Pelodiscus sinensis: one gene and its partner. The protein of the gene in region 1 purifies or fractionates together with the protein of each later gene. This does not show direct contact. Links are inferred from orthologs where the notes say so. Each region holds a gene or a part of one and is shown in the gene's direction. Other genes may lie near its edges. The genes, in order: ASPH and LRRC59.

The links.
Region 2: the proteins of ASPH (region 1) and LRRC59 purify together in Homo sapiens (co-immunoprecipitation; 3 studies listed by BioGRID and IntAct, with this or other methods). This does not show direct contact. The link is inferred for Pelodiscus sinensis from reciprocal best matches to the Homo sapiens genes ASPH and LRRC59.

The regions. Positions count from the first base shown.
Region 1 is NC_134712.1:61,045,696-61,049,605, forward strand, and holds the start of ASPH (aspartyl/asparaginyl beta-hydroxylase), read left to right. Parts: upstream 1-1,601; 5' UTR 1,602-1,724; coding exon 1,725-1,791; intron 1,792-3,910.
Region 2 is NC_134730.1:13,990,466-13,994,375, reverse strand, and holds the start of LRRC59 (leucine-rich repeat-containing protein 59), read left to right. Parts: upstream 1-1,690; 5' UTR 1,691-1,842; coding exon 1,843-1,928; intron 1,929-2,106; coding exon 2,107-2,215; intron 2,216-3,622; coding exon 3,623-3,682; intron 3,683-3,910.

The DNA.
Region 1 (3,910 bases):
TCCTGCCTTCTGTCTCTTCCTTTCATCTATAGTAACCCACCCAGTGGCTCTGCTGACCAACTCTTCCACCTCCTTCCTACCTGCCAGAACACAGCGGCTGCTGCAGTGGGACAGATGCTTAGGAAGGGTGCAATGGGGGCAGGACATAGTTGGAGAAGAGGTGCTATTTTAGAGGAAGGGATGAAGTGGGGGCAGGGCTGGAAAGGAATGGTTGATTACCCCCAAATTACAGGTGGAGCCAGTCCCTATGCTAGTTTCCCACCATTTTCCTTCCCCATATTCCTATTTACATTGCCAGTGGCTGAGCCCCCTGCTTGCCCCACCCAGGTTATAGCCTAGAACTACAAACAAGGCCCCTACGCAGGAATTTCTGTGGGGGTGGGAGTGCTTTTTTTTGTAAACGTGGAACACAAAGGTGTGAATGCACCACCACACTCCCCCAAGTAAGCAGAGAAATCAGCCCCAGCCTTCTCCAGACCTGCCAGAGCATGGGGAGGGAGGATCTAGCAGCACGCTGCTCCTACCTTGCTCCTGCCTTCCTCTAACTGGCTGGAGCATGCTTACTTGGTGGACCATGGGGGCTGCTTTTGCAATCTTTCAATCCCCCCTCCCGCCGTACTGGCCTGCAACACATACAATGATTCTGCCTCAGCCTATGCACATTGCCCTTGACTCCATGCCGCCTGTGGAGTTGAGGCTATTCAGTCAGGCTTGGGGGGCAGTTACATGGGCAAAAGCAAAATGTAAGGCTGCGTCTACACTGGCACGATCTTGTGCCAAAGCGGCTACTCTTGCGCAAAAACTTGCTGCCTATCTACACTGGCCATGTGTTCTTGCGCAAGTAAATCGACGTTCTCATGTATAAAATCAGGCCTTCTTGCGCAAGAACTATCATGCTCCCGCTAAGGAATAAGCTCTCTTGCGCAAGAGCTCTTCCAGAAGAGGCCAGTGTAGACAGGCAACATGAATTTCTGTGGTTAAAATGGCCATCAGAGCTTTCTTGTGCAAGAGAGCATCTACACTGGCATGGATGCTCTTACACAAACGCACATGCCAGTGTAGATGCTCTTTTCTGGAAGAGTTTTTGCACAAGAAGCTGCCAGTGTAGATGTAGCCCTGCAGGTCCTTTACCAAAGTTAGGTTGAGGTAAGGTGTCTTGCCTGGGTCGTGCCCTGCCGCGTACACCTCCCGTGGGTGCACAGCAGCATTAGCCAATTGCAATAGCTCCTGTGTCACCAACACAAGCGTCCTTACCCCAGCTAACTGAGCACCCCTGGGACTGGTTACTAGAGGTAGGGAAACTGAGGCACGGCGGCTCACTCAGCAACGCAGCTGAAGCCTGGCTACCCCACACTCGGCCAAGCCGCCCCGCCCACGGGCGCCCCTCGCTCAGGGGCAGCGCGCGCCGCTCCTGCTGGGTTGGAAGCTGAATCCTCGCGAGAGCGCTCCCATGTTGCCACGTTCCAAGCGCCCGGTTTCGGCACGGAGAAAGAAGCGCAACGCATCCCACCCAATCCTTTTGTCCGTACCAATAGAACGCACACGATGCCCCGCCCCCTTCCGGCGAGAGCGCTGCGATTGGTGGAGGTGGCTCTCAATCGGCTTCCGAAGGGGGTGGGTCCTTTGGCCTCAGCCCCGCCGCTCACGTAGGGTCGGTTGGGCGGGTAGCGGCTCCTCCCCTCGCGAGCGCGCGCAGTCCCCTCCGCTACCTGACAGACGGTGACATGGCTCCGCGCAAGAGCTCCAAAGGCACCGGTGGCGGCAGCAGCCCCAGTCAGGGGCCCAGGAGAGGTCAGTGCCGCCCGCCCGGCCGCGGCAGCCCCGCCCCGTGTCCCGCGCCGGGGCTGGGCTTGAGCAGCAGGCTGTGGGGGCAGAGCCGCGGGACGGGGCGGCTCCTGGGAGCGCAGGCGGGGTGCGCCGGGCAAGGGGATGCCGCTCCCCGAGTGCCCGGCGGCGGGGGCCCGTCGAGCCTGCAGCAGCCTCGGCCCCTGGTGCCCCGCGGGGAGTGGGCGGGGCGGGGATGTTGGGGCCCCGCGGGACTGTGGGCGCCGCTCGCTGCGTTTTCGAAGTTGCCGCTCTCTTGAGTGTCTGGCTCCGGTGGCCGGGCCTCGCTGCACGCTGGGCTCGTGCGGGAGTCCCGGGGGGCAGGAGGTGAAAGCGGCGGGTGGGTGCGGGAAAGCGCCGGCGGGGTTTGTGCGCGTGTATCTGCCTCCCTCTGACTGCCTGGTCACCTTCAGCCTCCTCCATGTGTTTACGTGTCAGCTCAGCGCTTGGAGGGAAGGGAGGTCGGAACAGATGGTTTAAATCTGTTACTCAGATTTCATTTATTCCCCTTTTTGCTCGAGTTTGAAGTGGAGGAGAAGCTTAGCGTGTAGCTGAGCAAACAGAGGAATTCCTCATTGCAGAGGATTAATCATGAGTAGAGCTGCATGTATTACTAGGTGTGCTTAGCCCAGTAATTTTAAACTTAGAAGTCTTAGACAATCAAGTCTAGGAGTGTCTTAAATTCCTGAATAAAAAGCAGGCTGCTTTTTGCAAAGAACTTTACAGTGAGCGTTGCAGTGAGTGAAAAAGTGCACTTTGGCATATTTTTAAAATAAGACTGCTTTTAGTGACTTGATACCACCATGTATAAAATACTGATGTCAAAATATTCTTTTGTTACCGTAACTGTCAAGTTTTTATCTCTAGTAATCTGAAGGCTTTTTAATTAGCTGTAAATTAGAAAGTGCAGATATAAAGGAAGATTTATTTTCAGAAAGTAAGACATGAGCAACTTGAAACTGGGTTAACAAAACTAACAATAGAATTAATAATTTTTTACAGTAAACTCACATAAAACAAAGTAAACTTCTGGGAGGAAAATACATGTCAGGTGAAAGTATATTAATGCCTTTCTGGTAGTTATATAACTGTACAGGTTGTAAAGAGCTGATCTCGTTAGCTTTACGGTGAGCACGCTTTGTGCCTATACATTGTTAGCTCTGTGGACTTCTAATTTTTCAGTTTTATTTATCACTACTAGCATAGATACAAGGTTGATCACGTGATCTCAGCCATGTGCATAGTACTAGTAGAACTTACAGTGCTCTATCAGAGGTTTATACATATGGCATTGTACTTATTGATCATTTTGATAATTGAGTACAGTGGTTTCAAATGACTCTAAAGAAACAATGTGGTTGAGGTAATATCTTTTATTGGGCCAACTTTTGTTGGTGAGACAAGTTTTACAGTTATACAGTGTTTAATTAGGTTAACAGCTGGTATGCCCCTTAAATTTCTCTTGAACAATTGATCTGGGAATTATGGGTGTTTATTATAATAATCATACAGCAACAGGAAAGAGCTTATTTCAGTTTTAAATTCTGTAAAATGCGTCTTTTGAAAAACAAGACATTAAAAATGCATCCTGTATAGAATCTGGGCTACTATAGAGAACTCCAATACACCTTCCAAATTTGTTTTAACATTTCAAGTTAAAAAAGCCTGAAACTCTTGATCATATTTACCTATGATGAGTAAGAACTTTTCCCAAATATTTATTAGGGATGTTAAAATGCATTTATTTAGGTAAATGTTTACCTGCTGAAAATTTCAGCAGATACACATTTACACATGGGGGGAGGGAGGGGAGTTGGGCAGCTCCCTAGGAGCTGGTGTGCGAAAGACAGCTCCCTGTGCATACTGGCTCCCACGGAGCCACATCTTCCCCACACGCTGCTGCCTCTGCATCTGATACAGTGTGGGGGGAGGAGGCTACATGTAACCGTTTACACATTCATATCCTTAATCATGTGTGCAGTTGACCTCTGTAAAATCTGTCCTTTTATTTTAAAAAAGACTTGGCCCGTATGCTTACATAGGATCCCCTTCAGTTGTGAATGGTGGAAACTAGTGTTTCCATATT
Region 2 (3,910 bases), on another chromosome or scaffold:
TCCTCCGCCCCCTCCCACCTTCACCCTCCCCTCTCGCCCTCCGCCTCCTCCGCCCCCTCCCACCTTCACCCTCCCCTCTCGCCCTCCGCCTCCTCCGCCCCCTCCCACCTTCACCCTCCCCTCTCGCCCTCCGCCTCCTCCGCCCCCCTCCCGCCTTCCCCCTCCCCTCTCGCCCTCCGCCTCCTCTGCCCCCTTCCACCTTCCCCCTCCCCTCTCCCCTCTCGCCCTCCGCCTCCTCCGCCCCCCTCCCGCCTTCACCCTCCCCTCTCGCCCTCCGCCTCCTCTGTCCCCCCCACCTTCCCCTTCCTTTTGTTCACCTCCTCCCCCCGCTAGGAGGCGCTAGCCCTGCCGAAGGAGCCGCTCTGCCCTGAGCGCGGGTCCCTCTTGGCCAGCGGGCCGGCTCGTTGGCGCTGGCGGGCTGAGCCGAGACGTGGATGTTGGATGCGGAAGTGGCTGGCAGTGGAGGCGAGTGCGGGGCGGGGCGGTGAGTGCGGGCCTGGGCCGGGGCGCTCCGCCCGCTCTGGGCCGCGCCCGGCGTCCGTGTGTGGGTTCGGTGGCGGCCCGGAGGGTATTGGGCAGAGAGGCCCCTGTGCGGAGACATGGGGGGGTGCCCTGTGCCGGGGGTATTGGGGAGAGGGGGGGCCCTGTGCGGGAACATGGGGGGGTGTCCTGTGCGGGGGGTATTGGGGAGAGGGGGGCCCTGTGCGGGGGGTATTGGGGAGAGGGGGGGCCCTGTGCGGGAACATGGGGGGGTGTCCTGTGCGGGGGGTATTGGGGAGAGGGGGGCCCTGTGCCGGGGGTATTGGGGAGAGGGGGGGCCCTGTGCGGGGGTATTGGGGAGAGGGGGGGCCCTGTGCGGGAACATGGGGGGGTGTCCTGTGCGGGGGGTATTGGGGAGAGGGGGGCCCTGTGCGGGGGGTATTGGGGAGAGGGGGGGCCCTGTGCGGGGGGTATTGGGGAGAGGGGGGGCCCTGTGCGGAGGTGGACGGGGGTATTGGGGAGAGGGGGCCCCCCTGTGTGGGGACATGGGGGGGTGCCCTGTGCCGGGGGTATTGGGGAGAGGGGGGGCCCTGTGCCGGGGGTATTGGGGAGAGGGGGGGCCCTGTGCGGGGGGTATTGGGGAGAGGGGGGGCCCTGTGCGGGGGGTATTGGGGAGACTGGCAGTCTGAGGCTCCCTTGGTCCCTTGCGGGGAAGCTTTGGCTGGGCTGGGGCGTTCCCACAGGAGATGGAGCTGCTGGGGGACAGGGTCGCCTACTCTTTCTAGTGGCTTGCTGGGGCAGAGGGGATATGTCCCACTTCTGCCTTTGTGCTTTTTTTCTCCCTTACTGGAATGCAAAGGAATAAACATTCCAAAGCTACAGCAAGATGTGGTGGGACAGAGTCCGGGAACTGGGCCACTGCTGTTAAACAGCATTTCCGCTTCCACCTCTACGTATTTGCTCCCTCCATTCACCATCCTCTCTTGTACTTCTGCCCTTCAGAGAGCTCTCTTCAAAAAGACCCTTGGATTCCCCCCACCACAACCCAATCAATTCTACTCTTGGTAGTAGGACAAACAGATACCTTACAGTGTTCTCACTGTGCCTAGATGTCCTGCTGGCATGAGGGGCATCGGAGGAGGTTGGGTTATTTCTAAGAAAATAAAATTCTTGCTCATTTAGCCAGAAAATCCTGGAAGGGTGGTGATGCCTATCAGGTGTCACAGGTATAGGTTTACAATCCATATTCAGCTTGAATTGGTAAAAAGGAAAGACTAATAGTTGTTCCCATTTGGTGGCCTTTCAGTAGCCTCTGCTAAATGGGCTGTCAGTCCAGTTCCTGGTAGACAGGTTGCAAAAACCATGTCCACAGTTAGCCTGAACTGGCAAACACTCTGGCATCCAGAGCAAGATCTAAAAGGGGATCAAAATATCCCTGGCTTTAAAAGGTGAGCACAACAGCTGTCCAGACTCCTGCTGTAATTGTTAGGTAGATACAGCTTAAAAGAAAATCTAGGGGTTTGCCAATTTCTTTTGGTGCCCCTTCTTCCATTCCTGATCTTTTTTCCTTCCCCCAAAAAAGGAGGCCCTTTGGTGAGCTACTTACGACTCTTTATCTGTTAATAGGATCATGGCAAAAGCGGGAGGAAAAGGAGTGAACCTGAAAGACAAACTTGATGGCAATGAACTGGACTTGAGCCTGAGTGACCTGAATGAGGTGCCAGTCAAAGAGCTGGTCAGTATCAGTCTTTTCTGGGAAGTGTTAGGCTGTGTCTACACTGGCCACTTATTCCGGAAAATCAGCCGCTTTTCCGGAATAACTTGCCAGCTGTCTACACTGGCCCCTTGAATTTCTGGAAGACCACTGACGATCTACTGTAAAATCATCAGTGCTTTTCCGGAAAAACTATGCTGCTCCCGTTCGGGCAAAAGTCCTTTTCCGGAAAACTGTTCCGGAAAAGGGCCAGTGTAGACAGCACAGATTTCTTTTCTGCAAAAAAGCCCCGATCGCGAAAATGACGATTGGGGCTTTTTTGCGGAAAAGCATGTCTACATTGGCACGGATGCTTTTCCAGAAAAAGTGTTTTTCCGGAAAAGCATCCTGCCAATGTAGACGTGCTTTTTATGGAAATACTTATAACGGAAAACTGTTCCATTTTAAGCATTTCCGGAAAATCATGCCAGTGTAGATGTAGCCTTAAGGTATTGCAGGGGAGCTTTTGAGATTACACTTGGTCTTTGTGAATTACAGATTGGTCCAGGAAGGGGTGGGGTTGAGGTCTGGGGATGCATTGGGCCCTGTGTACATTTTGTTTTTTACCAGCTCAAGGTAATGCCAATTCAGTATTTAAAGGCACACTCACACTGTTTCTCCTGGTTTGAAGAAAAAAGGGAAGATAAGGATATGCAACCTTGAATCTTTCCTGTTGTTTTGACTTTGGGGATTGATGTGACCTGAAGAAAAGTGTGTTCCTATTGATCTAATCTGGTTTAATCCAGATTGTGTATTAAATGGAGGCTTTGGGTGAAAGAACCTATTTCAGTGGGAGCAGTGCTCATAAAACCCTGACTTTGAGTGAGATGTAAGAGAGTTGCAAAAATAATTTGAATGGTGGCAACTGGGAAATTCTTAAAACTCCATGTATGGGAGAAATCCCAAAAAACTTAAATATAAGCAGCAAAGTATCAAACATGTTAAAGAACTGTAACTTTGATAAGTCTCAGGTATCTGTGTTAGTCTGTATCTGCAAAAACAAGGAGTCCTGTGGCACTTTAAAGACTAACAGATTTATTTGGGCATAAGCTTTTGTAAAACCCACTAAATTAGAAAAGCAGATATAATATATATATATATAATCTCAATATCATACATGTATATCAAAAGAAGGGAGTTATCAAGTGTAAGACCAGTGTTAATGAGCCCAATTCAGTCACTGGTCAAACTCTTGATAAGTAACTCCCTATACTAGTACATATATATCCCTATCTCTGTAATTTCTACTCCAGTGCATCTGATGAAGTGGGTTTTACCCATGAAAGCTTATGCACAAATAAATATATTAGTCTTTAAGGTGCCACGGAACTCCTTGTTGTTTTTGTAGCTTTGATATAGGTTTAATTTGGTTCCTTGGCTCTTTTTCAGGCTGCCCTTCCAAAGGCTACCATATTGGATTTGTCCTGTAACAATCTCACTTCCTTACCGGTAAGAGGAGAGAAAAGCTTTGTGGAAGAGGGTGGGATCTGCTTGAAAATATCTGTAGAAGGATACTAGCCTTCATGGGAGGATGAGGTGGGAATTTGATAACTAGCAGTTATGTTAGCTTCTTATGTTAGCTGGAGTACTGTGTCCAGTTCTGGGCGCCACATTTCAAGAAAGATGTGGAGAAATTGGAAAGGGTACAGAGAAGAGCGACAAGAATGATCAAAGGTT